2 linked regions of the Oreochromis niloticus genome follow. The protein of the gene in region 1 purifies or fractionates together with the protein of each later gene. This does not show direct contact. Links are inferred from orthologs where the notes say so. Each region holds a gene or a part of one and is shown in the gene's direction. Other genes may lie near its edges.

The links.
Region 2: the proteins of tnfrsfa (region 1) and cflara purify together in Homo sapiens (affinity purification with western blotting; 5 studies listed by BioGRID and IntAct, with this or other methods). This does not show direct contact. The link is inferred for Oreochromis niloticus from reciprocal best matches to the Homo sapiens genes TNFRSF10A and CFLAR.

What each region holds. Positions count from the first base shown.
Region 1 is NC_031972.2:13,494,148-13,506,923, reverse strand, and holds the start of tnfrsfa (tumor necrosis factor receptor superfamily, member a), read left to right. Parts: upstream 1-7,549; 5' UTR 7,550-7,826; coding exon 7,827-7,859; intron 7,860-12,776. UniProt on the Homo sapiens protein: Receptor for the cytotoxic ligand TNFSF10/TRAIL. The adapter molecule FADD recruits caspase-8 to the activated receptor.
Region 2 is NC_031987.2:13,976,794-13,989,899, reverse strand, and holds the start of cflara (CASP8 and FADD-like apoptosis regulator a), read left to right. Parts: upstream 1-6,852; 5' UTR 6,853-7,092; intron 7,093-7,187; 5' UTR 7,188-7,247; coding exon 7,248-7,534; intron 7,535-7,616; coding exon 7,617-7,722; intron 7,723-7,867; coding exon 7,868-8,003; intron 8,004-9,698; coding exon 9,699-9,754; intron 9,755-9,849; coding exon 9,850-9,874; intron 9,875-10,061; coding exon 10,062-10,108; intron 10,109-10,210; coding exon 10,211-10,289; intron 10,290-11,124; coding exon 11,125-11,626; intron 11,627-11,718; coding exon 11,719-11,848; 3' UTR 11,849-13,106. UniProt on the Homo sapiens protein: Apoptosis regulator protein which may function as a crucial link between cell survival and cell death pathways in mammalian cells. Acts as an inhibitor of TNFRSF6 mediated apoptosis.

The sequences.
Region 1 (12,776 bases):
AGCTTCAGCCAAAATTTGCTATGGAACTGTGAATAATTGCATCACGTGGAATGGAGCACTCAGTGCATTTGTTACTTTTACAGGGTGTACTGCTTCAGTGTGTGTGTGTGTGTGTGTGTGTGCATGAGTGGGTGGGTGACTGTAGCTCCAGCTAGCAGGGAACGGCGTCACGTCGCATGCTTTGAATTACTGTACATTTGCGGCTGGTAGACAGGCTGCTGCCAACTGTCTCTGAGTGGATCAGACAGCTAACATCAGCACTGTGGGCTCTGCCACGAGTCCCACTTTAATTCCCTCTCACTTTTTCCAGCGTGCTCTCCTTTTCTTTCTGCTGGAGTTGTCTCGGCGCTCTGTCTCATTTTTGCGTGCTCTTCTCCATGCCTCTATTTTTAATCAACTTCACACTCTCTGCCATTTTTTTTTTTCATTTTTCTCTCAAATCGCAAAGTATATACAACAGACACACAGACACTGACACCCACACACATTCCTATAGCGCGGCTCAGGCAAACACCCACATTTGTCGGAGGGTTTACACGGTTCGCCACTCAGCTAATCTTTGTGGCCTTGCACACTGAAGTCTGCCTTCTGTCGAAATCCGATTATAAAAATGTAAAAACAAAAGCAGAGTCAGGTGACTACTTAGGGCGCATTACAACAGCGTGATTGCTTTTGCTTTAAACTGGCCCCCTCCTGTGGATCCTGCCACAGGTGGTGCCAGGGAAAGTACTGATGACATCATGGGCAAAGGTTTCAACAAAGACGAGCATTCCTCACTCAGTCATAATCCGCCGCCTTCATATACGGCTCGTCTTTAACCAGACAGAACCGGTCAGGACGCTTTTCTCTCACACCTCCTTTTTGCTCTGTGACAGCTCCTTTATTTCGCCCCCTCCCTCTGCCTTATCAGCACCACTATTAACCCTTCTTTTCTCTAACTGAAGCAAAGTGTTAATTGGTTTGACACAAAGGCACTTGACACTGTATTTCCAGTGTATCTTGCCAGGAACTCCCACACGACGTGTCTTCTGTTTTTGTCAAATGACTTTAGGAATTTGGCATGAGTTGATTTTTTCTTTTTTCCGGCACTACTAAGAGGACATTGATTCACAAAGGCAATTTTCACAAGACCCGTGTCCTTACTTATCCTCACTATTGCAGTCTAATCTTGTATCATATATTACTAGCAATAAGATAAATTGTCCTTTTTATGTAAATCTACTTCATGGGACATACATTATATACAGGAAGTGGTCATACGTGGAAACTAATGCCATGAAGTTCCCAGCAAAGTTTCTTTGGTGATGTTAATGCCAAAGAAGGTTTGGAGCTCTTCAGTTACTGAGTCAACAGACTGCCGGAGACATTTACGGACTGTGCACCTCAGTGCTTATAATACCACTTTACACCTGATCGTGGAATATCGGGGGGAAGAAAGTTCATGAATAGACTTGTTGCAATGATGGTTTCCTGTTACAGTGCCACACTCAAATTCACTTTGCACTTCAGAGTGATCCATTATTTCACAAATGCTTAGGTTAAGGCACTGGGCAGCATGCATCTGTGGCAATGAGACTGAAAACACCCAAATTCAAAAATTAGTGGTGGCCCAGTACTTTCATCCATATATTGTGGGTCTACGATGTGCTATATTCCCTGCAAAGTTCACATTGTCAGTGTGAGTGTTAGAGTCAAGGCCTACACACATTTTGTCTGTAGTTTCTTAAGGTGAAACTTTTTCCCTACCCCTACTTTTTGCAACAACAACAACAAAAAAACCCTCACATTCAAGAATGCTTGTGCTGGACATTGAAATATGCCTAAATATCCATTGCCCAGCATTTATGGGTGGGGGAAAAAACCTTGAATCTTTTTAAAGCACACTGCTTTCATCTAAATCAAATTTGCAACAACTGATTTTTTTGGATGACTTGGGAACAGCACTAATAAATCAGCTGATTTCTTGATACATAAACTGTTTATTTCTACCAGTTTTATCACCAGCCGAGCTTCTGCCTTAATCATGCAATCAGTCGGTTTTCTTTACCTGTTTTCCAGTCTGTAACTAGGATTAGGTGAAAACTACCAGGTCGATTGCCATTAAACTTGGCAAAGAGGTAGGCATTGGCTTTGATTTACCCTAATTTACGCCCCGATCTAGCTCGATTACTCCTGACTCGTCCGGTGTGACTCGAGCAATGCTGAAGTGGCAAATAGTTTAGCCGTCTTATCGCAAAATCATTGACTAATAGTAAGTCAAGTTGATTTGTTGAGTGTCTGAATTCACGAGGATGCCCAAACTAGATGTCCTGTTTTTTCTTTTCCAATTTTCAATGAGCTACCATCCAGAACTGCAGTCAGAGTGGTACTACGAAGCCACGCTGTTTAAAAAACATGCATAATGTGTCCCTAAAATGCAATTAGACAGCACCATATGCTGCTTCAACACACTTTTGGTTGACTGTTCTTTCCCCACAACAACCCTTTTATATAAAAAGTAATCCTGGTAGGTTTTCTTATATTATAGCTGCTATACAGCAGGTTCGTTTCTTAAAGTGTTTTGAATACATAACACCATTGGTGTGAATGCATTTCTTCTCCACTGCTGTATCTGTAATGAGAAGGAGGACTGTAATAGATGAAGTTCATTTTCCAATCCTCCACACAGATGATGGGAACATAAACACAACATTCACAGTACAAACTTTCGGCTTTGATTGAACACAGTAACCACCCTCTGGCTGTTGCTGTTCATGCTGAAAGCTCTTAAAGAACACCACTGTATGTTTAGAGTGCAGTCCTTAATAATGCTAGCCTCTCTTACAAATATTAACGCTTTATTTGTCTTAATTCAATCTATATAGCAGGCGTCAGGGGTTAAAGTCCATCATTAAATGATTAAACCAAGTTTGATGTTCTAATATGCAGTATAACAAATAAGAATGTTGAAGTGATGCAAGGCCGCGTGTCTCTGCTCTCCGAAGAATGTGGATCGAATTTTTAGACAGTTCTGGATCCAGAAGTCGCTGCTATGCATTTTTTTCTTTTAAGTTTATAACAAAATCAAATCAGAAACAATTACAGGACACGGCAACAGTCATGCTGCAGTGACATAACAGCTCTTCTGTTGCTTTACAAATAATCTGATCTCAGTCATCTTCACAAGGCTTACATCCTCTATTTCAGCTCCTTGTCACTTTTTTTTTTTTTTTGCTCATCCCTCATAAACAACAAGTGAAACAATGCACAGCCGGCGTCACACGATAAGTCACTGACGCTCAGGAAGGTTTCCCTTCCCTTTATTTATTTTTTTCGTTTTTTTCACCCGTAGGTCACTTCTCTTAAAAAGAAAAAAAAACAAACCTCATCTGTTGCATACATACACCTATAGATATACAATACAGTGCACAGTGCATCCCTCACTTCTTTATATTTTGCTTCCAAAAAGTTAGATTTTCTGTAATTTCCTCATTTTTAAAGCGGTCCCTGGGTTTGAAGGTCTTACAAAGTTTTATTTTGGACACTGACTCACCGAGTCTTTGTACATGACCATTTTCAGAGTTGGTTTTTTTTTTGGTTTTTTTTGTTAAGGCACTTAACACTGACCTATGAGTCATTCAAGCATTTAAAAAGACATAACTCAAGGGATGAATCAGTGTTGTATGTACACACAACAGACAACTTAGCAAAGAAACAACTGTAATTGTATTTTTAGGCACTTTGTTACAAAAGCACATCAGTTGCTTTCATTTCTTTGGCTGAATCTAAAAAAAAAAAATACCAAAGAATAAATAGTTTATTAGACATCAAATAAAATAGCATTTATGTGATTCTCAAAACGCTATTAGCCAAAAACTTGCCTTGGCATGATATGCAGTGTGTCCTCAAAAAATCTGAGGATGCACTTCACCTGATCCATCTACCAAAGCCTTATCAGAAAGGGTCTCAATGGAAAGGATGGCAGCCAAGAAGGTATTCTTAAGGAAGGGAAACAGGAAGAAAAATGTTGAAATTTTTGGTTGAAATCAATATCAATATGTACAGAGGAGATCAGGAGAGAGCAACAACAGTGGGTGTCTGCAGCCATCTGTTACACGGTGGAGGCTCTGTCATGGTTTGGACTGCATTTCAGGATTTTGTCAAAATTGATGCAATTATGAAAGCTGAAAATACAGTCAAATTTTAATCTACCATGTAATATCATCTGGAAAGCATCTGATTGATTGTTTCCAACACACCTATTTCTGAAGACCAATTAAAGGCTGTGTTGAAAAATAAAGGTGGTCATATCAAATACTGACTTTTAAGCTCATTAGACTCGTACAAATGTTTTTTTTTCTTTATATCCTGTATGTCTATGTATGTTTGTAGATGTTTTACCTGCTCCACCCATTTCCAATTTTCCTATAGCAAAATATAAAGAAATGAAGGGTAGCTCAAGACTTTTATGCGGTACTGTAAAAACAGAAGTGTTATATCACACTACTCCCACACAGGCTATGCAAATGATCCCTCAACTGCACATCTTTTTATCCAGCAAAGATCCCTTTCTGAGGAGGTCAAAGATTCTCCCTTAAATTCAAGATGACAAATTGGAAAAGCTGTAAAGATTGTTGTTTTTCCACAAGTTGGCTATGTGAACTAATCAACCCAGCAGCCATTAATACAGACTCGCTCAGGATAAGCTTGCAAATAACTCAATCACACACTTCCTGTTTTTCAGCACGTAGCCTGTGACCTCAGAAGGAGGAGCACAGGATGTGCTCCAAGTGGAAGATACAGATAGAGATTTCCTAGACAGTTTTAATTGAAACACATGTTGAACTTTGGAGGAGCAGATAAGTTGCATCTGTTGGACAACTGGATGAGTGTTATGCTGTTTGTTCCTGTTACGGTGATTGAGTTTCAAGTCTGATCAACTTCTAGAGAAAACTACATGGTTTATTTGATAGTTCGTGTTTATTTAATGTTTCTGTCTATACACAGTGAAATATGCTTCCATTTGGAGCTTTAAGTCTCACCACTTTTCAGCAGCTTCCTGTGAATAAACAACACAGCTGGGAGAGGACTGTGAATTCGGTATTTTTTTCTCAGATGTTCTGCCAGGCATGAGAACTCATCTGTGACCAGATCACTCAGTTTTTAATCAGCAGTTAATTTACCCAAGCTTTTCTGGAGGGGGGGGTTAAACCAAAACTCTCCTCTCTGCTCCCCACTTTCCTGTAAAATTCACTACTGTGCCGTTGGTCACAAGACATTTAATTAGTCACTGTAATGTTTCAAAACACAGCAATCTGTCTGTCCGCTGGTGAATGAGAAGTGAGACACACGCCAGACAGCATTTACTTTAAATGTGTCTAGAACTTGCCCAATCTTTCTTTCGTCACACGCCTGTCTAAGTGAGTGGAGGGCATGTGATTTATTTATACTAGTTGTTTGGCTCTGTTTCTTTATTTGTATGTGTTGCAAATTACCCCGGCAAGGTCTAATGTAGGTACGCCTCGATATCTTCTGCTTCCCCCCCTCCCGCTCCCTAGACATGAGGCTTTAGACCACAGCCCCATTCCAGATAAGATGTTGTCAGCAGGAACCACATTTGAGAGGATGTTTATTGTTGTGATGTAGTCTAAATGGTGGAAAAATGTTATGTTGTCATTAAATAGTAGCTAACTTTCTGCATAAACTGCAGAACTGTTTGGGTTTCTTTTCTCCTCATTGTATTAAATCCCTGTTTCCATAATATATTACTCCATATCCTCATATGGATTTGAGTTTCAGTTGAACACGTCAAAGTCACACATGTTGATGGTTCACATTTTCTTCCATCAAACTTTCTTTTAACAGTTCTCTGGGAGCATGTAGGAACTCAGGACCTATTGACATAGTTCTGAAAAAAAAAAGTATTTTGTGTACTTCACTTATTCTATGATTGCTCGTGCTGCTGTTTTTGAGACCGCTACGATCATCTTTATTTTATTACGTGCCAAATGTTCTCAGGAGGGCAGCAGGGTTCTTTGAGTCCCGTCCATCATGCTTTGGTATTGTCTAGCTGAAATGAGCAAGCCGTCTTTGAGAAAGATGATGGATAATAGCATATGCTGCTACAAAACCTTTATGTATCATTCTGTATTAAAGTTTTCTTTACAAATGTAAACCTTATCTTTGCCTATATTTCCTTACTGCCTCACAGATGCTTGCTTTTAAACTGCAAGCTGATTAAAAAAAACCCTGATGGTCCAGAGGAAGCAGTGTCCAGGATATCTAAAAACTATTTCAAATTTTCACAGTCCACAGGACAGTTTTCCACTTCAAGCCTACTTAAAATACGATGCTTAGAGAAGGTTCCAGGTCTTCTTGAGCTAACTTAATGTATGTTATTTCTCTAATTTGCATTCTTGGACGCAGCATTTGTTCATTTCCACCACTGTTCCTGAGCCCATGCAGTGCTTTCTACTGCAGAGTCATCCAGAGCTATGCAGGTCTGTTTTTCAGCCTTTTCCGTCGCATACAAGGATTTCTTTTCATTCTCTAAATCTTATGGTTGACTTTACATGACATAAATTGCTACAAAACTATTTCAGCTCAATACAATTTTTGATTTTATTTACATAGCAGCCAAACAACAGTCACCTCAAAGTGCTTTATATTGTAAGGTATAAAGCAACAATCAGATGACCCCCGTAACCAAGCAGTTGGCAACAGTGGGAAGGAAAAACTCCCTTTTAACAGGAAGAACCAGGCTGGTGGGGGGCTGCGTGTGCAGGATTAAAGACACACTATGAAAGACATCAAGAGTTTACTAACAATTAAATGCAAAGTGGTGTATGCACACATGGCAAAAAGAGGTGAGTAAGAATAAACTATTTGCTAGCAAAGTCTTTTGGTTAACCCCTCCCGAGCTTTACTTCTCAAAGATTCATCCTCTGTGGTATGCTCTTTTTATTCCCAGTCATTTTACTAATTAGTTGAAAAAAATTTCCACCAGATGTTTTCTTCAGCGTTCCATAACTTTTCCAAGCGTTGAGTCCCTATCCTATTATGATCTGCAAATAACTAATTACTAGTAAAATTTCCTTGTGACAATGCATCTGATCTTTTTGTAAACAACCGTTAAACTTTAGGTTTATTAGGTATCATCAGAAGTAAGAGCGAGTCCACTTCAGTGCTCTGCATGGAGGGTGTCACACTTTGGGATCACTCATTTGTTCACTTGAGTTCCAACTTGTTGCACATTAGCCGGTTGTTACTAGTAAGTTACACATTACATACTCAGGTTAATGTAGCTGGAGTGTGTTACCACTACACGCTGATCAAAGTCTCGTGGCGTGATGATTTGCAGACTTCTAAGAAACCCCCTCTGCTTGCATGAAACAGTGTTACACACGTCACCCAGTCACAACACACGGTCTTCAGCGATTAATGCAGTGAAATGTGTTAAAATGTTGCTGTTTTACTTTGCTTTGCAAAGCTTCGCAATTTCCTCCTTCATTATTATTCTAGGGAACGGGTTGTGATTGGCTCGCAGCCTGACGTCACGCGAAGTGCTCGAAGCATGAAAAAAAGAAAAAGCTCCTCGCTGGTGCTCAGACCGTGTCTGTTTCTCCTCTCTCAGGAAAAATCCGTAAAGTTTGAACACTAAAAGAAAAAAAAAAAAGAGTTAAACTCATGAAAGAAACCGGACGAAGGAGCGAGCGTAGGTCGAACTCGTGTCACTGTTTTGTTTTTCGCTGTATGTGTGGGGTTTTTTAAAGACTTTAGAGTAGTTTGGGTTTTGTAAAGCGACTTTCCAGCTCTCTGGGATTGTCTCTCAACGCGAAGTTCCCGAGATGAACTTCGATCCGGTGGTCGGAAAACTTCATGTAAGTAAACACGACACTTGCTTTCTAAATACGCTCTTTGTTGAATGTGTACCACTCTATTTGCGTGTGTCCCGTGGATTGTTGATTCATTAACGCTCCTAACTTGATAGCTTCTATAAAAATCATTTACCAAAGTAGCCTCTTAATTCAAGCTGCCGCTCGGATAATCTAAAGGTTTATAATCTAAAAGTATATATTTTAAAAAAGGCTTCTGTCTCATTAAGTTAAAGCGAAGAGCGGGCAAAGATAAGAGTGTCGTGGAAGCTGAAATCACGTCCAGGCCTGTGAACTTGAAGATGAAACAAGTCCGTGCATTGTCCCAGACACAGGAAGCAACACTGTGTTTATTGTTGTTAATGATTAAAGTGTTTATTTCTGGAGAAAATGCAGAAATACTCTGGTTTTTGTGTCTTTGCTCTCTTCAGTGCATGTGCTGTATCATTCACTCACTCGCCCCCCTCTCTCTTCCAACACTACAGCCACCATCTGTGTTGGACATCATGCGGTCACACTCCTCAGACATTCAGCATATGACGGCTCTCGGTCTGTCACAGCGGATGTAGCTGGCCCTCTAGCCGCTATTAATGAGAACTGTGCGGCCGTGGGCCTCCTGCCTCAAACGAGCTTTAAATCAAATTGTGTAGAATGTGAGAAGCATGACTGAATGTGTAATCAGAAAGCTAAGAATTCACCTTGCCAGTTAGTCCATAACAACTCTCAGCTATTTCTCTCTTGAAGTTTATTCCACTCAGACCTTCACAGAGATGTCTTTTCATTCCTCCCCTGTTGTTTTTTCCAACTGTGCCGCGCATACTACAAGCACTGTGAGCAGACTGGAAGCCTTTGTCGTGCATTAAAAGTACTTTGATTAATGCAAAATACGCATTTGAATTAGAGGAGATCTATTTCCTTTCTCACACAGAGTTTACTGGATTACACCAGGATAACGCTACACGAGATAAGATGTGGAAAATGATATGAGTTCCTAATGACGGAACAAATCAAGCGTTGGCAGCTTGTTTGGCTGATGAGGGTAGTGGCGTTTGTCAGTGGCATTTCATCACACATGCCCACTGTGGCTCTGCTCACTGTAAATGGAGCTGTTTAAAAGTAAATGTAATATCTTCTGATGGGCCTGGAGCTCCAGTGTTTGTTTTCCCCGTTGTCTGATCTGCGTTTTAAGTCATGCAGTGTTCCATTACTGAAATCCGATTTACTTCTCCGGGTGGCAAAGTCAATGTTTATCTCTTTTGTAAACCACAGTACATTCTGGAGGCCTCGCCAGCAGGCCTTGTTGCTAAGGGACTATGAGGAAACTTCAGCCCCTCCCCATCTCCTCCTCCCCACCTCTCTAATCCCCCCCCTACACACACACACACACACACATGCACCCCTCCAAATTGCCCGAGTGTACGTGCCTGGCCGTCCAGTAAACTTCCTGTCTTGAGTATACAGATTTGCTGATATTAGTGGCATCAATTTACTTCTTAGAATTGTCATGCCCATGCAAATGTACACTAGATTTTTATCTGTGATTGTTTACTGTGTGTCTGGGTGTTGGTTCACACAGGAAATAGTCCTCTCCGTCTCTGTGGACTACACAGACAAGGGCAGGACAGACATCTGGGACAAGCGGAGGCCAAACTATGACACTGGGGACAAGCAGTGGTCGGCAACGCTAGTGTTCCTAATACTGTAGCCACTGCTTATTGCCGCTCTGCTCGGTGACCATGTGAACAGTTATAACCATGCCTGTGGCTTAGAGAAGCTGTAGAGAGGCCGAATGATGCAATGCAGCGTAACTCAGTGTCTGATACCAGGTGGTGTCTGTGCCTTTTTATGTGGGCTCTTCAGAGAGCCCAGGATGTTTTATTGTTAGCCAATTGATTATCCTGTGTGGACCTGTAGTTGCCAAGGTGAATCACCCTACTCTTATCAAAGGGCTCGCTGACTCATGGAGGGAGTGCCACCTGTTCAGGTGCTGCCTACCCACGTAATGCATACCAACACAGGCGAGTCACCGCTCACATCTGAATGGTCCCGAACTGAAATAAGTGGAGATAATTTACTCCACGTCAAACATCCCGACTATCAAGATAAACAGAATAACCTCATCTAGTTTCATTCTGATATGTTGGCTCCTAACCCTGCGTCACACTGTGAGTGCTAAAAGGTAATCTTTACTGGAAGGCACTCTTTTCCATGTCAGAAAGTGCTACGAAGGATTGTTGTGGACATAGAAGCCTGTTTCTAGACGTTACCTGATATAGGTGCCCATTAAAACAGTTAATTTTTATTTATATAGCAAGAAATCACGACCACAGATCCCTACAATAGACCCTAAGATAATACAGAGAAAAACCCAGCAATCAGACGACCCCCCCCCCCCACGAGCACGCACTTGGTGACAGTGGGAAGGAAAAACTTTTTTTTTAACAGGACGAAACCTCCAGCAGAACTAGGCTCAGGGACAGGCTGCTATTTGCCACCATATCCAAGTTATGTTTAGTTATGCCTATTTGAGAATAGCACATGTAATGGTCCAATGAATGCACAGAGACAACGTTTTATTATGGATAACTTGTGTCATCTACGAAGGCAGTCAAAACAAAACACAGTGTTTCATTAGTAAGGATAACCCTGGAAAAAGCTATGTCCTGCTGCATATTAGAAAAGGCAAGTGTGGGCAATGTCCTCATCCGATTCTAATAACTGTCTGGAGTTCAAGTGAGAACATGGCTTAAAATAGCTAAAAGAGTAGAGTGTGTTGTATGAGCACATGGCACATAAGTAACTGTTCATATATACAAGAACATCATGAAGTAAAAACAGCACTGTGATGTGTCTCTCTCCAAATGTTGCTAACACAAATTTGGAATTTTGATTATAGATAATTCAGTCATGCAGTTACTCCTCCACTGTTTTATTGCTTGTTTCAGTCACTTTTTACACAAAGCTCCACATGGTCCCTGATCCTATCTTTTGTGGCGTGACGGACAGTTTGGTATTACTGATCAGTGATTCCTTTTGGTTTTGTACTGGTTTAACTAAAGCTCGAAAATTGCTTTTATTACTTTTATTTTGAATTTTCGGCTTCCACCGAGTATAAAGAATCATTGTGCGCGATTCTGTTTTTTAATAGTGCCACTGTTGGTCTCATGTTAAAATATTTTACACTGTAATTATTTTTGAATTTCATAGAAATTCACGAGTAAAATTATTTATTTATTTTTAAAGAAAATCCCGACTGATCCAACTCATATTTTTATTTCTGTTTGTTTACTATGTTTCTGTTGCTATTTCTTTACTTCAAAATTTGCTGTGTATTTAATGTCGGTCATCTTTTCATTTCAACGCCTTTGAGCATTTAGCCAGGGCGAAGTGATGTCACACAGCAGATCAATGATGACATCGCTGATTTTGATCTTGTTTGCCGATATGCCAATATCAAGGTTGATATCAGCTGACAGCATTCCTTTTGATTATTGAATTATTCCATGATTTCCTTTCCTTAATAGTCGATAATAATCGATTAACTTAGTCAAAAGTACAGTCGTGGCCTAAAGGCACCTTCCAAACCTGACGTACTATGAAGCCAGATCAGAAAAAGGTTTTGCAGCGGTGCTATATCTTCTGATTTCCTGCTCTCCTGGAATGAATGAGCAGATTATAATAAAAGTGTTGAGTCTCGGAACAAGCTCAACCTTTGTCTAGAAAATGGAAGTCTGTTTACAAAGGCATAAATCTGGTGCAAATTCCAGCCACTGATGGTCACTTAAGTCCTTGTTGACCTGCTACACCAGTCACATATTCTACATTTTTTGCAGCGGTGTGTTTATAGAGAACTCTATAAACTGCCAGCACTTCAAACTGCCCCCCTCCCTTTTACACAAAGATGAGCTTTAGTGAAGCTAATGTGATTGTCTTTAAAGCGAGGTGATGGATTCCTGCTCATTCTTAAATCTGTTAGTCATCCTTTCTTTGCTCTTTTTTTTTATTCCCTCCCTGCAGGAGTTGTCTTGTGATTCACCGCTTAGCTTCCCTGTGACAGGCCTAATCACAATCTGAAAAGGCCAAGTTAATAGCCCGGCAGCACACAAATATGATTTGTGGATTGACATTCAAATTGGATGTCCATAACGTTCTGTATGAGTCACAATGACGTGGCGTACACGTACGAGCAGTCAACCTTTACAGCCAACCGAGACCACCTCGACCTCGTAACAAAAATAATTCGAACGAAAAACTACAAAAGTGTCACGCTGCACCTGCTTACAACTGTGTGGAACCTTTTGAACTTTCAGCAACCCACTTTGGCTGCATTGTTTTGATGAGTGAAACATTTTTTGCGGTAAACATCAACGTCAGGGTATCAGTAATTTCGACAACTTGTGGTCAAGAGTCTCTCAGGAAATTCAATACAGCTGTCGTCATCGCGGATCATCGTTCTTTCTCTTTTTCTTTTTTTTTCTTTTTTCCCCCTGGTAAATGTCACCAAACCTGCTTGTGACACACTGTCACCCTCATCTAATCAGTGGAGCGCACCTCCTGAGGAAACTCAAGAATTCGTGCTATGGAGCTGCAGCTTCCCTGAGTTATAAATATCCAGCCTAGCGGATATGCTGTGGGTCTAATCGGGTGCTGGGCCTGCTCTAAGGCAGGCTGCTGTGCAGGGAACAGTTTGGAGCTGAACCCTGCATGAAGCCTCTGTATTGTCTCGAGCTTCCTGTGCTCCCTGAGAGGAGGGGGCAGCCGCTTTTCACACGCTCCCCACACATGCACTGTATGTGTGCTTGTGTGCTATATTATGTGTGTGTGTGCGTGCATTGCGTATGCGGCCTAACAATGTGGTTTTGAAACTGTTAGCGCCTTCTTGTTCTTAACTGTACTGCACTGACACGGGAGCCATTCTCTTCA
Region 2 (13,106 bases), on another chromosome or scaffold:
CAGCTGGCAACCAGTTGCGTCAAGTCTTCTATTGCAAAGAAACGTTGCAGATGAGTTATGCTCACTGGAGCAGACGGAGATCAACTGCAACGAGCTAGCAACCTGTCTGTTAAACCAGACAATTATTTACAAACATTTGCCAATCCATCTGTGAGTGACTGCAGTTAGTATGAGTTGGGCTAGGATTCTCTGGAGACAGGTTGCCTCCCACTAAGCGACCTTTGCAATTACCTTAAAAGCAATCGAGGTTGAAGGTGTTGCATGCTCAGTCTGTTAGAGATCAATTGGCTGCTGCAAGTGCTTTGAATCGGTCACTAAATGTGCACAAGGAGGAGGTTGCGGTCCTATTTTAATTCTAGTGTGACTGAGCCATTAGCAACATTTCTACTCTTCAGTTTGCCATTTAATGTCAATGTCAATTTTTAAAGTAGGAAAAATACAACTTTCATTATGCACTAAAAGCCTTGTTTGTTTTCTCAATTTGCCATTAACAGTGTATAAGATAGGTTTGAGCATGGTTGATAAATACCTGCTGGTAATTACCTATTCACTGTGCCTGAGTAAAGCGGCGGCTTAAAATTTAACTGATCTAACGGCACAACTTTATCAACAGAGGTATGCAAACATAGCAGTCAGTGACAGAAATGCACTAAAGCAGGTGAAAGCTTGTGACACACTAGTAACCAGTCTTACTGTACAAAAGAACGAAGATAAAGCCTGTTATTGTCTCACATGGGAACAGGCAACTTCCCTTAGGGGATAGTACAGTTAATCTTACACAATCAAAACATTCACACAGACTCAGCAAACAAAAACGCAAATACTGCCAGCAATCACCACCTAAATATAAACAGGGACAGCTTTAAATGTTTCCGCTGCAAGCACATGTAAACGTCTGTCACATCATATCAGAAAGGTTTGACTTAGGTGTTTAATAAAGAGCTGGTACAGCGATGTGTTCTCCTTTCGTCTCATATTTGATGCAGTGCCCACAAGCACTGTTTATTAAATGCTCTGTGCAAACAGTATGTTTAACAGTTCCTACATATGTCAACTGTATGTGTGTTTTAAAGGCGTTGGGTATTTTCTCATACACTTTTGTACAACTGACGATATAGAAGTGATGCCTGCTTTTTTAAGATGCAATTCATAAGTAAAAAAAAACTACAGCCTCCATAACACAGGCCTAGAGACCAGTCTGTGAACCCCTAGGGAAAAATGTGTTCTCTGATTGAATCGCATGTGATTTATGGCAGTCATTGGGTGAAATTGGTTGCAAAGTGGCATACAGTGTGGTGCCTAAAACATTTTTCCTAGTGACCCAGGGTTGAGGGATACGTCACTGAATGGTCTTGATACCTGTGTGACTTAAGCATAAACAAGCATTAATTTCTCAATAAGTCAATGAATTAATTGACAGAAAATGACTCAACAACTACCTTAATAAAAAATTTATCATATTAGCAGATATTAGTGGATATGATATCACACTGGATAGCTCCGCATATTTTGATTTTTACATCAGATACCCTTCCTGATTTATGGCCTTTTTAAGTGATTCATATCTACTCCCAGGACATAACCAGGGATCTTTTGCTTGTTAGGCGAGTGTGTAAACCCATACACTATGTATCCATTTAGATCAAATATATAAAATATATGTTCTGGATATTTGCTCACCTTCTGAATACACTTTAAGATGTTCAAAACTACAGTTTGGCTTTCACGATACGACAAAAAGCTGTGATCATGCGACAATGTTTAACAGTGCAACGATATATGTTGGCTATACAGATGCTATTACTTTCTGCTTTATTTGTAACAGAAAAAACACTATTTTGAACATTACAGCAACGATTAGGTTCATATAGATGAAAGTTCCTAATACATGTCAAGGAATGTTTTGCAGTGTTTTTAATCACATATTGTAAGATTTATTGGTCATTAATAACTTTAACACACATTTACAATATTCTCTTATATTTTAACGACTAAGTAAATAATCTGCAGGTAAAAAAATATTGTTAAGCGCTATATGCATGACGGTTAAATTCTGTGCTGATGCCAATGTTAAAATTTTGTTAATTTTGTTGTCTCTGTGTAATTTATTTCCTCTTTTGTACAAAAGAAACAAAGAAGCCTTCATTAAGATTAACTGTAAAGTTCACATCAGTGAACATTTAGGCATCACAAAACCGATGTGAAACACGGGGCCGTGATTATACATCAGTGGATCCCTACGAATACTGGTAGCTGTAGGAGTAGTTCAGCACAAACATCATGCTTCTCGGCCTCTCATGAACTCATGTCGGAGAGATACACTGTACATCATGGAGACAGCCAACACACAGACAGAGCTCATACCTGGCAGCGCAGTGAATCAGCCGCCCCGCGGCTCTCTCTGCATGCCAACCACATATCCAGCTGACTCAAGACCGCACGCAACATGATAAAACTGACTCCTCTGAAGACTTTAAAGTATGCACAGAAACCAATTTAAATGTTAAATAATAGCCAACAAAAAGAAAATGCTCTAATCTGAAATCCCCACATATTCAGACTCTACAGGGAGGAATTGTGAGGTTTCTTGTCTGCTTGTGGACTCATAGGGACAACAACAAACATGGTGATGCAGCTCTTCTCTGCTGGAAGGAAAGGAAGGGCAGGGGGCTGCCTGCCTGTGTGATCCTCTGGCGCTGTGGGTGAGTACAATGGAAAATAGTCCCCATTGCTAATCCATGGCAGGCTAATTACAGCTTTGATCCCCTAAGCGTGTGCATCACTGTTGGTGGGTGGGAAGGAGGCAACACACTACTGGGCTCAATACCGGTATGGCAAAACTTGTTTTGGCTCAAAGATGTCTCAGTTTACTCGCATTCGGTGCAGAGGTGGAACCATTGTGCTGTCAAATCTCACATACACTATATTAATACAAAGGTCATAACAGTCCTTAAACCATCAGCCAATAGTTTTATGAGCACACAATCCTTCATCGAGCAAATCCACCAGCTTCACAATATGATCCAAAGTCACCGACAAGGTTACCATTTACTTCACTGAGCAGCACATGAAACCCAACTCCTGGAGAAATGAGACACAGATTAAGTGGGTAACTGGAGTTTCTGTCTAAAATAGGCCGCAGCTCTGATGATAGCCTAGTCCCAAAACACATGGTGGTGGAAATACAGCAAGGGAGGAGGAGGAGAGAGGAGGATGAAGGCTGAGGATGAGCAGCAGATGGCTTGGAATTATCTAGATCTTGAGCTCCACACCTTTGCTCATTATGCCATTAGTGTAATGGTGGCTTATCAGCCTAGACCAATATCACTCCAAGCAGTATCCTTTTAATTTATTGTTTGCTGTGTTGAGCCACAGCAAAATGTCAGTATGGAAGAAGGAATGTAAAAAGAAAGATGCAAACAGGCTTAGCTTGATGATCACTTTGAAAAACCTCCACCACCTCCAATTCATAACCTGTGGTGTTTTAAAGCAGGTTTTATGGGTTTTCAAGTGGATTGCATTAGTTATCCCACTATCAATCAGGACCCCCCCCCCCCACACACACACACCTCAATGATAGTCATTTAATGTGTATTAATAAAGCATATTTAAATGTTATTATTTAATGTAAGTGCAGTTACACTAATACTGCTTGGTTGACACGCAATCCCAAGGCACTTGGCTCAAAGCAAACAAATAGACCTCAGCACCCAATTTAGAAACTACTTATCTGGAGTGATACAAAGCTCGGTCCAAGTACAGTTTATTAAGTATTATTTTTGTTTGTTTGTTTTTCCTTTTCTTTTTTTTTAATCCAGCCTTACTTTAGTTTCAGTAATTGTTCCTCATGATCAGCTTATCAGTCATCTATTAAGCAGCTTGAACAGCCCTAACCTCCACGAATGATGGTATATCAATAAAGTTTGATTAACTTATTGACTGATTAATTGATCGAGCAGCAGAGGCATGCATTAGGTGAATTAGCACAGCATTGTTTAAGTTATTTGTTCATACCTAAGCCATTCCAGCATAAAACTATAGGAATGCATCTATGACGGGACCTGAAATCACCTTGAAGCTGCTGCAAGTTTAAAGTTATTATGGTATAAGGGCTTAAAACACACACACACAAACAGACTGGCCATTCTAGTGTGTTTCTACACATGGGTTATTTACTCTGAAGCAATGAATCCGACTAAAAAAAAGTTATAAATGCAGTCGAGAGTTTTAAACCTGGGACTTCCGCTTGTTTTTTTGTTTTTTACATCAATTTCAAAATAAAACCGTTTGTTAAAAATGTGCTGCAACGTATTGTCAAATTCAGCTACGTGTTTGTATAAATTGCGGTGGATACATGTAGTTGGTGGTGTAATGTCACAACACAATCACTGTTTAACCTTAAACACTGAAGACATCGTGCAGTCCTAACGGTCACGCAGCTATGTTAGCCAGGTAGTTAACTGCTAGCAAACGGTTGCTCCGACACTGCCACGAAGCCTGAACCTGTACGCCAACGTTAGCTACCTTAGCTCGGCTCGAATGCCGTTAGCACGCCTGTTACAGTCAGCAGCTGTTGGACATCCTCGTTTTTCCATCAGTCGTGACCAGGCCGGGGCGGCTGACTGCTGCCAGCCTGGCTCCAGCCCAGAGCAATCTGCTGTGTGGTCCTTTTCCTAAAAGACACCCCGCAGACGTTGAAGCCTCCTTGCCGCGGGTTTACATCCACATCAACACAACAACTGTGCTGTGATGTTCCAACTCAGCAGCAGCAGCAGCAGCAGCAGCAGCCCCGGTCTGCGACTACCTGGAAAATCCTTCCTCTTGTAATAGTAAATTAAATACTCACTCAGACTGAAGCTGGTTATAGTGATGCTACACAGTGGCTGTTTTGGGGAACCGGGAACGGTGTTTGGTCAGAGCGGTCACCCGGGTCGTGTATCTTCCCTTCTTCAAATGGTCCCTCTCTCCGCCAGCAGTACCTCCGTATGATCTCTCCACACTGCAATGATGGTGCTGAGGCACAGCGAGACACGATTGGCCAGGCTGAGCGGAACTCAGTGAGCTTTGATAAATCTCCGGCGGCCTGCAGGGGGAGTAGCAGTGGTGCGTTCAAGTCCATTGGAAAAGTTGCAATGGTTTAACACGCTCATATTGCCACAAATAGCTGTTAAAATAATTTTAAAAATATGTATGATTATCCCTCCACAGTCTGAAACCCATTATAAGCCACTGAATCTGTTTAAGAAAGAAAAGATAAAAAGATTAAGATAAGACTTTATTATCCCGTTGTTACAGCAGTTAAAACTTAAACCCAACAAACATATGAGATGTGATATCTTAAATAGCTGAATGGTATGCAGCTCAGTAAAACAATACAGCATGACAAAGCATATATCTAGAGAAGGTAAGACTATTGTGAAATCAGAACAAAAACAGCTTGATAAATGTAATAAAACCAGCATAGCAAATACATAACTTAAACAAATATTCAGAGCTTTGCTGTTTAATTTTTAATAAAGAATCATTTAGATTACATTAAATTAAGTTTAAATTGTTACAATTTAAACATAATTGTACCAGATGATGTATGAATAATAAAGGGACTTATTACAGCAGATTTGCCTCTGACATAGATTTGCTTCTGTGCAACAGGGCAAGCATGACTGTTTTGTTCCACAGTATGACCGAAGAGGAGAGGGTCCACCTACCCCTTGCTGCAACACTCAGTGGGTGAAAGGTGTTGGACAGGAAGCTGTTTCTAAAGACTTTATTTTCACAGAGTTTAGTGAGGCTTCTGGTTGAACCTCGAGAGATCTTACAGGCAGAGAAGCAGGATTATCATCTTTAGTGGTTCAGCGTTTAACGTGAGGCTCAAATCTCTCAGCACACGACTATCCCAGCATGACACAGCATGATAAACACAAAATCCAAAGAATGAACTAATGTCACTTTGTTGTGTAAAATGCAGTCATAGGTGTTCAAACTACAAAGCCCCGCTCTTTTTAAAAGAAAATATACTGTAGCTGGTTTTATACATGATGGGCAAAAAGATTCTTTGCTGAGGGAAAAAGTCAGGTTATTGCAAATTATGATCCACTTAAGTGATACATTTATCTTTTTTCCAACTTGTATGAGAAAATTATTTTCTCTCTGGTAAAAACAAACAAACAAACAAACAAACAATAAAACAAAAATAAAAAGAATCTATTGCATTGACAAATTCATTTATATAGCACATTTAATTCTATGTAAAAATCAAAATGCTTAACATAGAAGCAAAAAACACTTTACAGAGAGTTAAACACAGTTACATTTTACACATTTTACACAGTTAAATTTAGGCCTGTGAGAAAAAACAAGGTTTTGAGTCTGTTTTTGGATTAGACAGAGATGTAACTGACCTCAGCACCACAGTTATGCCTGATTTAGACTTCCGCAGGAAATCTGCATCATAACTTACAACGTAACCTCGAAATTTCCTTTAACCCTTCGCAGCAACCTTCTAATTAACATGAGGTGCACCTCCCAAGACATGTAACCCTACGTTGGGGTCGATGCAGCCGACAACGATTGAGTGGCGTGTGGAAGGTTGCAGCTGACAATTGTCATAAGTTAGACTGTAAACTTTTCGCAGAAGTCAACCTTAACTGAAAACACCCTCACCGCATTTAGATCTAATTTTGTAACTGATGACCTGGGTTCTTTATGAACCATATTAGTGTCTTGATTATTCCATATTTTTCAGTGCTTTTTAAAAAAATCTGCAGACAGTATATTTTCTTGGAAGGTCCTGGAGGTGAGGCTCTTCACCGCTCGTGCTTGTGCCATGACTTCATTTGTGGGTGTGGTCTATCGGCTGCCATTTTTCTTTGCTTTCCCTTTCGGTTGTGCCATTGCGCAGTTTTTGTAAAAGGACAGAACTTATATGGTATTCATCCGGTTAAGTTTTCTTTGTTAAGCGGATCCTCGCTGGTTTCATTTTACGTTGGGAAGTATTTGGTAAATCCCCTCCCTCGGGTTTTTAAGTGGTGCGTCACTTCTATAGTTTCCCTTCTTCTGCTTTGCTACGTGTTTGTTGCAGGACTCTTTTCGGTAAGTTCTCTCTATAATTTCGTCTATTAGTGATGGGTTATTATATTTTCACGACTTTTTGTGGATCTTAACATGGCGATTATTGTGACCCACAGGCTTTGACTACAATTCTTTATTCTGGACTCATCACCTCTTAAAGTTTTACCAAATTCCACATGGCTGTTCCGGAACAATTTCAGCTACATGCTATAAATGAAATCGCGGAAGCTCTCAGCAGCAATGAACGCAGTAGGCTCTTCTATCTATGTGAAAGCTTGGACACGGACCACAGTGTGGCTTGTATGAAGGAGATGCTCAGATCAAAAGTGACGCACCATCAAAACGCTCACCTGTTTCTGGCACAGCTCATGTTTTGTTTGGGGCGTTTGGATATCCTAAGGAAGGTGTGTAAAGTCAGCAGGGATGACTTGGAGAGGACCAGACAAATGGTCCCAAGTTTCAGGTAAGACATCCTTTAAGATGAGCTGATTAATCCTAAAGATTTGAAGAATTGAAGTTAACAGTGTTTGTTCCACTTAATGCAGAGTATTGATGGCAGAATTAAGTGAGGAGCTGGACACCGGAGATTTGGACAGTATTAAATTCCTGTTAACTTGCAAATTATCTCGTGAAAAGCTTGAGAAGACAAAGGTAAGAAAACACACAAAAAACCCCAGAATGAATGAGGCATGATTTTGTTTTCACTCATTCTGAAATGTATGTGGGTGGGGATTTATTATTACCGTAACAAACCATGCTGCAGTCAATGATGGGACCCCCCCCCTTTGTGTTACAGAGTTTCCTGGATATTATTGTTGAACTTGAAAAGCTGGATTCAGTCTCACCAGAAAGACTTGACGTCGTAGAGGAGTGCTTGAGAAACATTGGCAGGATTGATCTAGTCAAAAAACTGACCACTTACAAGAATTCAGGTTAGACTGTGTTTCTGTGTTTCCCTTTTCCCTTTATATACTGAAGGGCTTAAAATAGTATCTCCATGAGAAAGGTTTGTAACAGTTTTGCAGTGAGAAGTGGGAAACACTTCCCTACTAGTTACACAGAACTGGTTTAAGTTTTATGTTCCTCGTCAGTATAGCATACCCGAAACTATTGATACTCACAATCACTCACAATTAATGCAAATATCTATCTCAGTATTTCAGAAACTGCTGATCTACTTGGATTTTCCCACGTCACCATCTCTAGGGTTTACAGAAAATGGTACAAAAACAAGAACTTATCCAGTGGGCGAAAATGCCATGTTGATGTCAGAGGTCAGAGGATAAGGGTCAGACTGCTTCAAGCTGATAGGAAGGCAACAGTAACCCAAATAACTACTCGTTACAACCAAGGTACCCAGATGAGCATCTCTGAATGCGCAACACGTTGAAGCTTGAAGGAGATGGGCAACAGCAGCAGACCACACCAGGTGATTTCCATGGGTTCACCAAAACTGGACGTCAGACGATCAGAAAAATGTGGTTGGGTCTGCCGAGTTTCACTTTCTGATGGTTCAGATGGTAGGGTCAGAATTTGGCTTAAACAACGAAAAAAGCATAGATTTGGATCCATTCTGCTTTGCGTTAATGATTCACACTGTTGTTGTTGGTGGTGTAATGGTGTGGGAGATATTTTATTGCCCCCCTTAGTATTGTTTAGCACTACAGTCTACCTGAGTATTGTTGCTGATCATGTCCATCCCTTTATGATCTCAGTGTGCCCATCTTCTGATGGCTGCTTCCAACAGGATAACGCGCCACATGACAAAGCTCGCATCGTCTCATCCTGGTTTCTTGAAACATGACGATGAGTTCACTGCAAATGGCCCCCACAGTCACCAGATCGCAATCTGATAGAGCACCTCTGGGATGTGGTGGAACGGGAGATTTTCCACATTGATGTTTAGCAGCAAATGCGTGACGCTATCAAGCTGACATGGACCAAAATCTCTGAGGAATGTTTCCAGCACCTTGTTGAATTTATGCCGTTGAGAAGAATGGAGGCAGTTCTGAAGGCAAAAAGGCATTCTACCCAGTATTAGCAAGATGTACCTAATAATGTGGCTGGTGAGTGTAGTAAGCAAAGAATTGGAAGTTTATTACATTTTCCTTACCAAAAACTCAGTATTAAAGGTAAACACATTTTTCAGTTTGTGACAACCTGTCCTGAATTTAGCCTACCTTTGGCCCTTGTTCACCTGGGACTGGCACCTGAGACCCTAAACTGGATAAACAGCTAAGAAAATGAATGGATGGATGGACTTTTTTTGTGGCTGTGCTCTGTCATGATGTTCAGCAACTTTGAAGCAAAAGTTAAAAGATTATGATCATAAAAAAATGACATCAAAATGCATTTCAGTTTTATTTAACCCCTGCAACCATGAGCCCGCCTTGCTTATTTAGTCCACTATAAAGTGAAGTTCAGGGTAATCGTACTTAAGACATCACATGGATTCATTGAGACCTTTCCCTTTAGGGTAGATACAATTTTCAGTACTAATTTAATGCTGTTTATTTAATGTGTTGGTATGTTTCAAATGTAATAGGATATTTTTTCTTTAAACAAGGACAACAATAGAACAGCAAACACAGAGACATTATGTATGTATATTTGCCTGTCTTTTACAGCTAGGGCACCTGAACAGCAGCGAAATTTGTCTCTGCAGCAACCCCGTAGAATTTCTGTGAGTGAGACACTTTACAGATGTTAGTTCACATTTCCCATAATGTTTTCTCCACTAAAGCCATAAAAATATCTCCTCTTTCTTTTCCTCTACAGCATGTTACACAAGAACGCTGCATGGGTAAGACTAGCAAAATACCACAGATGTGTAGCCTAAGACTATATTTGTAATCAAAATACCTTTTCATCCCCATGAGACACATATTGACAGATATCTAGTCTCACAGGGGCTTTACAGCTGGAAACCCCCTGTTGGCCCTGGTGTTTACTTTCTTCTTCTGCTAAACCATAACACTCTTTGTTTGCAGTAGAAGTGAGCCCACGACTAGGTGCCTGCGTACAGCCGCGCTCTGAGGTGAGGATTCCCCTCCCTCTCTGAGTATTTGATTATATTTTCAACTGTTGAATGACTCAATTGTATTTACAACATTTCCCCACTTTCTCATTTGAATTTCAGAGTGGGCCAGATTGCTATAAATTTAACACTAATCCCAGAGGACACTGTGTGATCATAGACTGCGTGGGTAATGATGGAGGTGAGACACAAAGCACTTTGTACTTTTCTACTTAAACAGAAGTACCAAAATCACAGTGTAGAAATCCTTAATTAGAGGTATAGTTGTGCATCTATAATCCTGCTGGGGGAGAAAAATAAATGGATGATCACCACATACTGTAATAGGTTTTAAAGCTGATGCATCATTGTGTACACAGGATTTTACAGTTATAGGTTTATCTGTATTCGATGTATTATTGGGTAGTTTCCAAACGAGGGACCAGCCCCATCCTAGAAAAATTCTTAATGAGAGAAGAAAAAGAAAACTGTTGTGCTACTCAGATTGTATTTCTTTGGGAATTTCTTTTATGTCTGCAGCTTTCGTGAAGAGGGAAGCTCATTTTACTTATTTGTGGTTTCTTGACAGTTGTTAAAATGTAGCTATTTTAGAAGGCAGGGAAAATTCAAAGGGTGTGAGCTTCTAAAAGAAAGAGCAATGTGTTATATTTTATAAGCTTAACGTGTGTGTTTTATTGTAGCAGTATAATTATAAAAAGTCTGATGTAACTACAGCTGAAACATAAATTTAGTGTAATTCAAGAACAAACAGTGTAGGACAGAAGCTCAAATGTAATTAAAAGTGCTTTACAGCTGCATATAACTGCCTAACAGGGGTACTTTTTGCATGTTGCAAGTTTTTGCTGTCAAAATGTGCATTTTAATCATTGTATTCAGATCATAAATGTTCCCTTACACTTTCAGTAGTTTTGGTTGCCACTGATCTGTGTTTAAAAAATGTAAAGCTACATTTGTCTTTTTAAATTATTGTCAAGGTGATGCTTAAATTCTCGTTTCATCTTTGCTCACTCCTTCAGAAAAATTGGAACAAACATTTAAGGCTCTTCACTTCAGCGTGGATGTCCACCAGTATCTGAGTTCTGATGAGGTGTTTTCAGCTCTCAATATGATTCTCAATAAGATGGAGAAACTCAGAAATGATAGCTTTGTGTGCTGCATCATTAGCCGTGGCACAGAAAGTCAACTTTTGGGCACAGATTCGACTGGATATGGATTTTCTATCAACGAAGTCAGGCGTCTTTTCAATGCTAATAGATGCCCGTCGTTGGCGGGCAAGCCCAAACTTTTCTTCATCCAGAGATACAACGTACCTAAGTTGTCCCCGCGCCCCAGGATGAACCTAGATGATGAGCACCTCGAGACAGATGGCTGTGATGGGGCTGTCACAGCAGCTATTCCTATGGATGCAGATGTGTTCTGGAGTCACTGCTGGACAGATGAGCGTCAGCTGGAAGAAGAGGAACATAGCTCTGTGTATGTGAACGCTCTGACAAATGCTTTGCGCAAAGCCCAAAACAGGTATAAACACTATCTAACTTTACCCCATCATCATGGTAGTTTTCTTATAAGTTTCTTATAAGCTAAACTGTTATTTGTTTGTGCTCTTACAGGAAAATTAAGATTGATGATATTCAAATGGAGGTGAACAATGTCGTCTTTGAACACAGCAGAAGTAATCCACAAGCCAACTACCACCTTGATGTAAAACACACCCTGAGGAGAGATCTGTACTTACAATAAAGAATTTATTTACTATTTGTTTGCTAAACACCGTGAAGTATCTGGTACCAGCAGATAGACCTTAGAGTCACTGTGGCTCCTCAGCTGAATTCTCCTGATACCCTTCTGTAACTAGATGTTAAATTCAGTTAGTGTGGGGATGGAAAAGTTAAACATCCACACTGATAATTAGTTACGGCAGCTCGAACTCAAGTTAATTATTTGCTTATCAGTAACTTAGTGCCTCCTCAGTGCTTTTGCAGCACTGAGGAGGCCACCGACTTTGGAGCGGAGGCGACTGTCCAGGTCCTGTTTCCTTGTGATAAAAAAAGAGGACATTCATCAGCTTGCGCAGCTAAACTATACTTGTGGACTTCTTAATCTTTGAGCGCAGGTGTCTCCATCCCAATGCCACGGGTCTCTGAAATCATGCACGTAGCCGTGAAGTCTGCCTTTACAAACATTTGTGAAAAAATGGGCCGTTCTAAAGAGCTCACCAAGTGCAGTGCTGCAATACGATACCACTGCCAGTGAAAGTTCTTGGCTCCTAGATATTCAGCAATCAACTGTAAGTGGTATGATTGGAAATGAAAGTTTTTAGGGACCACAGCAGCTAAGCCATGCAGCGGCAGATCGGCTAAAGTCGTAGAGTGCAGTCGGCCTGAGGTATATAGTGCGTTAGAGTCACCACCACACTGCTAACTCGTTAACTGCAGAGCTCATCGGGGATTAACGTCACAAACATAGCAAACATATTTTGCCTTGAGTACACGGTCAATTGCACATAAATGACAGCATGAAGGCTTCTCTGTCTTTTCATTTCTGTTTTCGCTTTATTTTATTTCATTTTTTTATGTAGCACATGAGTCAAATGGCCCTCAATCAAGTTTGTTGCCCGTCCAGTTGTATACTACTGCTGACAGTGTCGGACAAACAAGTATTGATGCAGCTCAGAACTTGCTCAAGAAGAACGTTTTTATTGCGTATATAGTGACACCTAATGGTCATATGTAGTCACAACATGTTATAGTTGGAGGTAAAAACTGAAAACGTTAAATGTGTATTTATTGTTATTATTAACTTTAATTTTCACCCAGGGTGTTGGTGGATGTTTAATAATATATGTTGTATTTCAACAGATTGATCATTTTAGCAGATAAATCAACTGCGACAGTTCCCAACCTTAACTCCACAGGCAGCAACGTTTTAAAACTTAAAGGTTTACCAAACAGGACACCCAGTCATCCGGACTGTGAAGGTTACAGTGCATTGGGGGAAA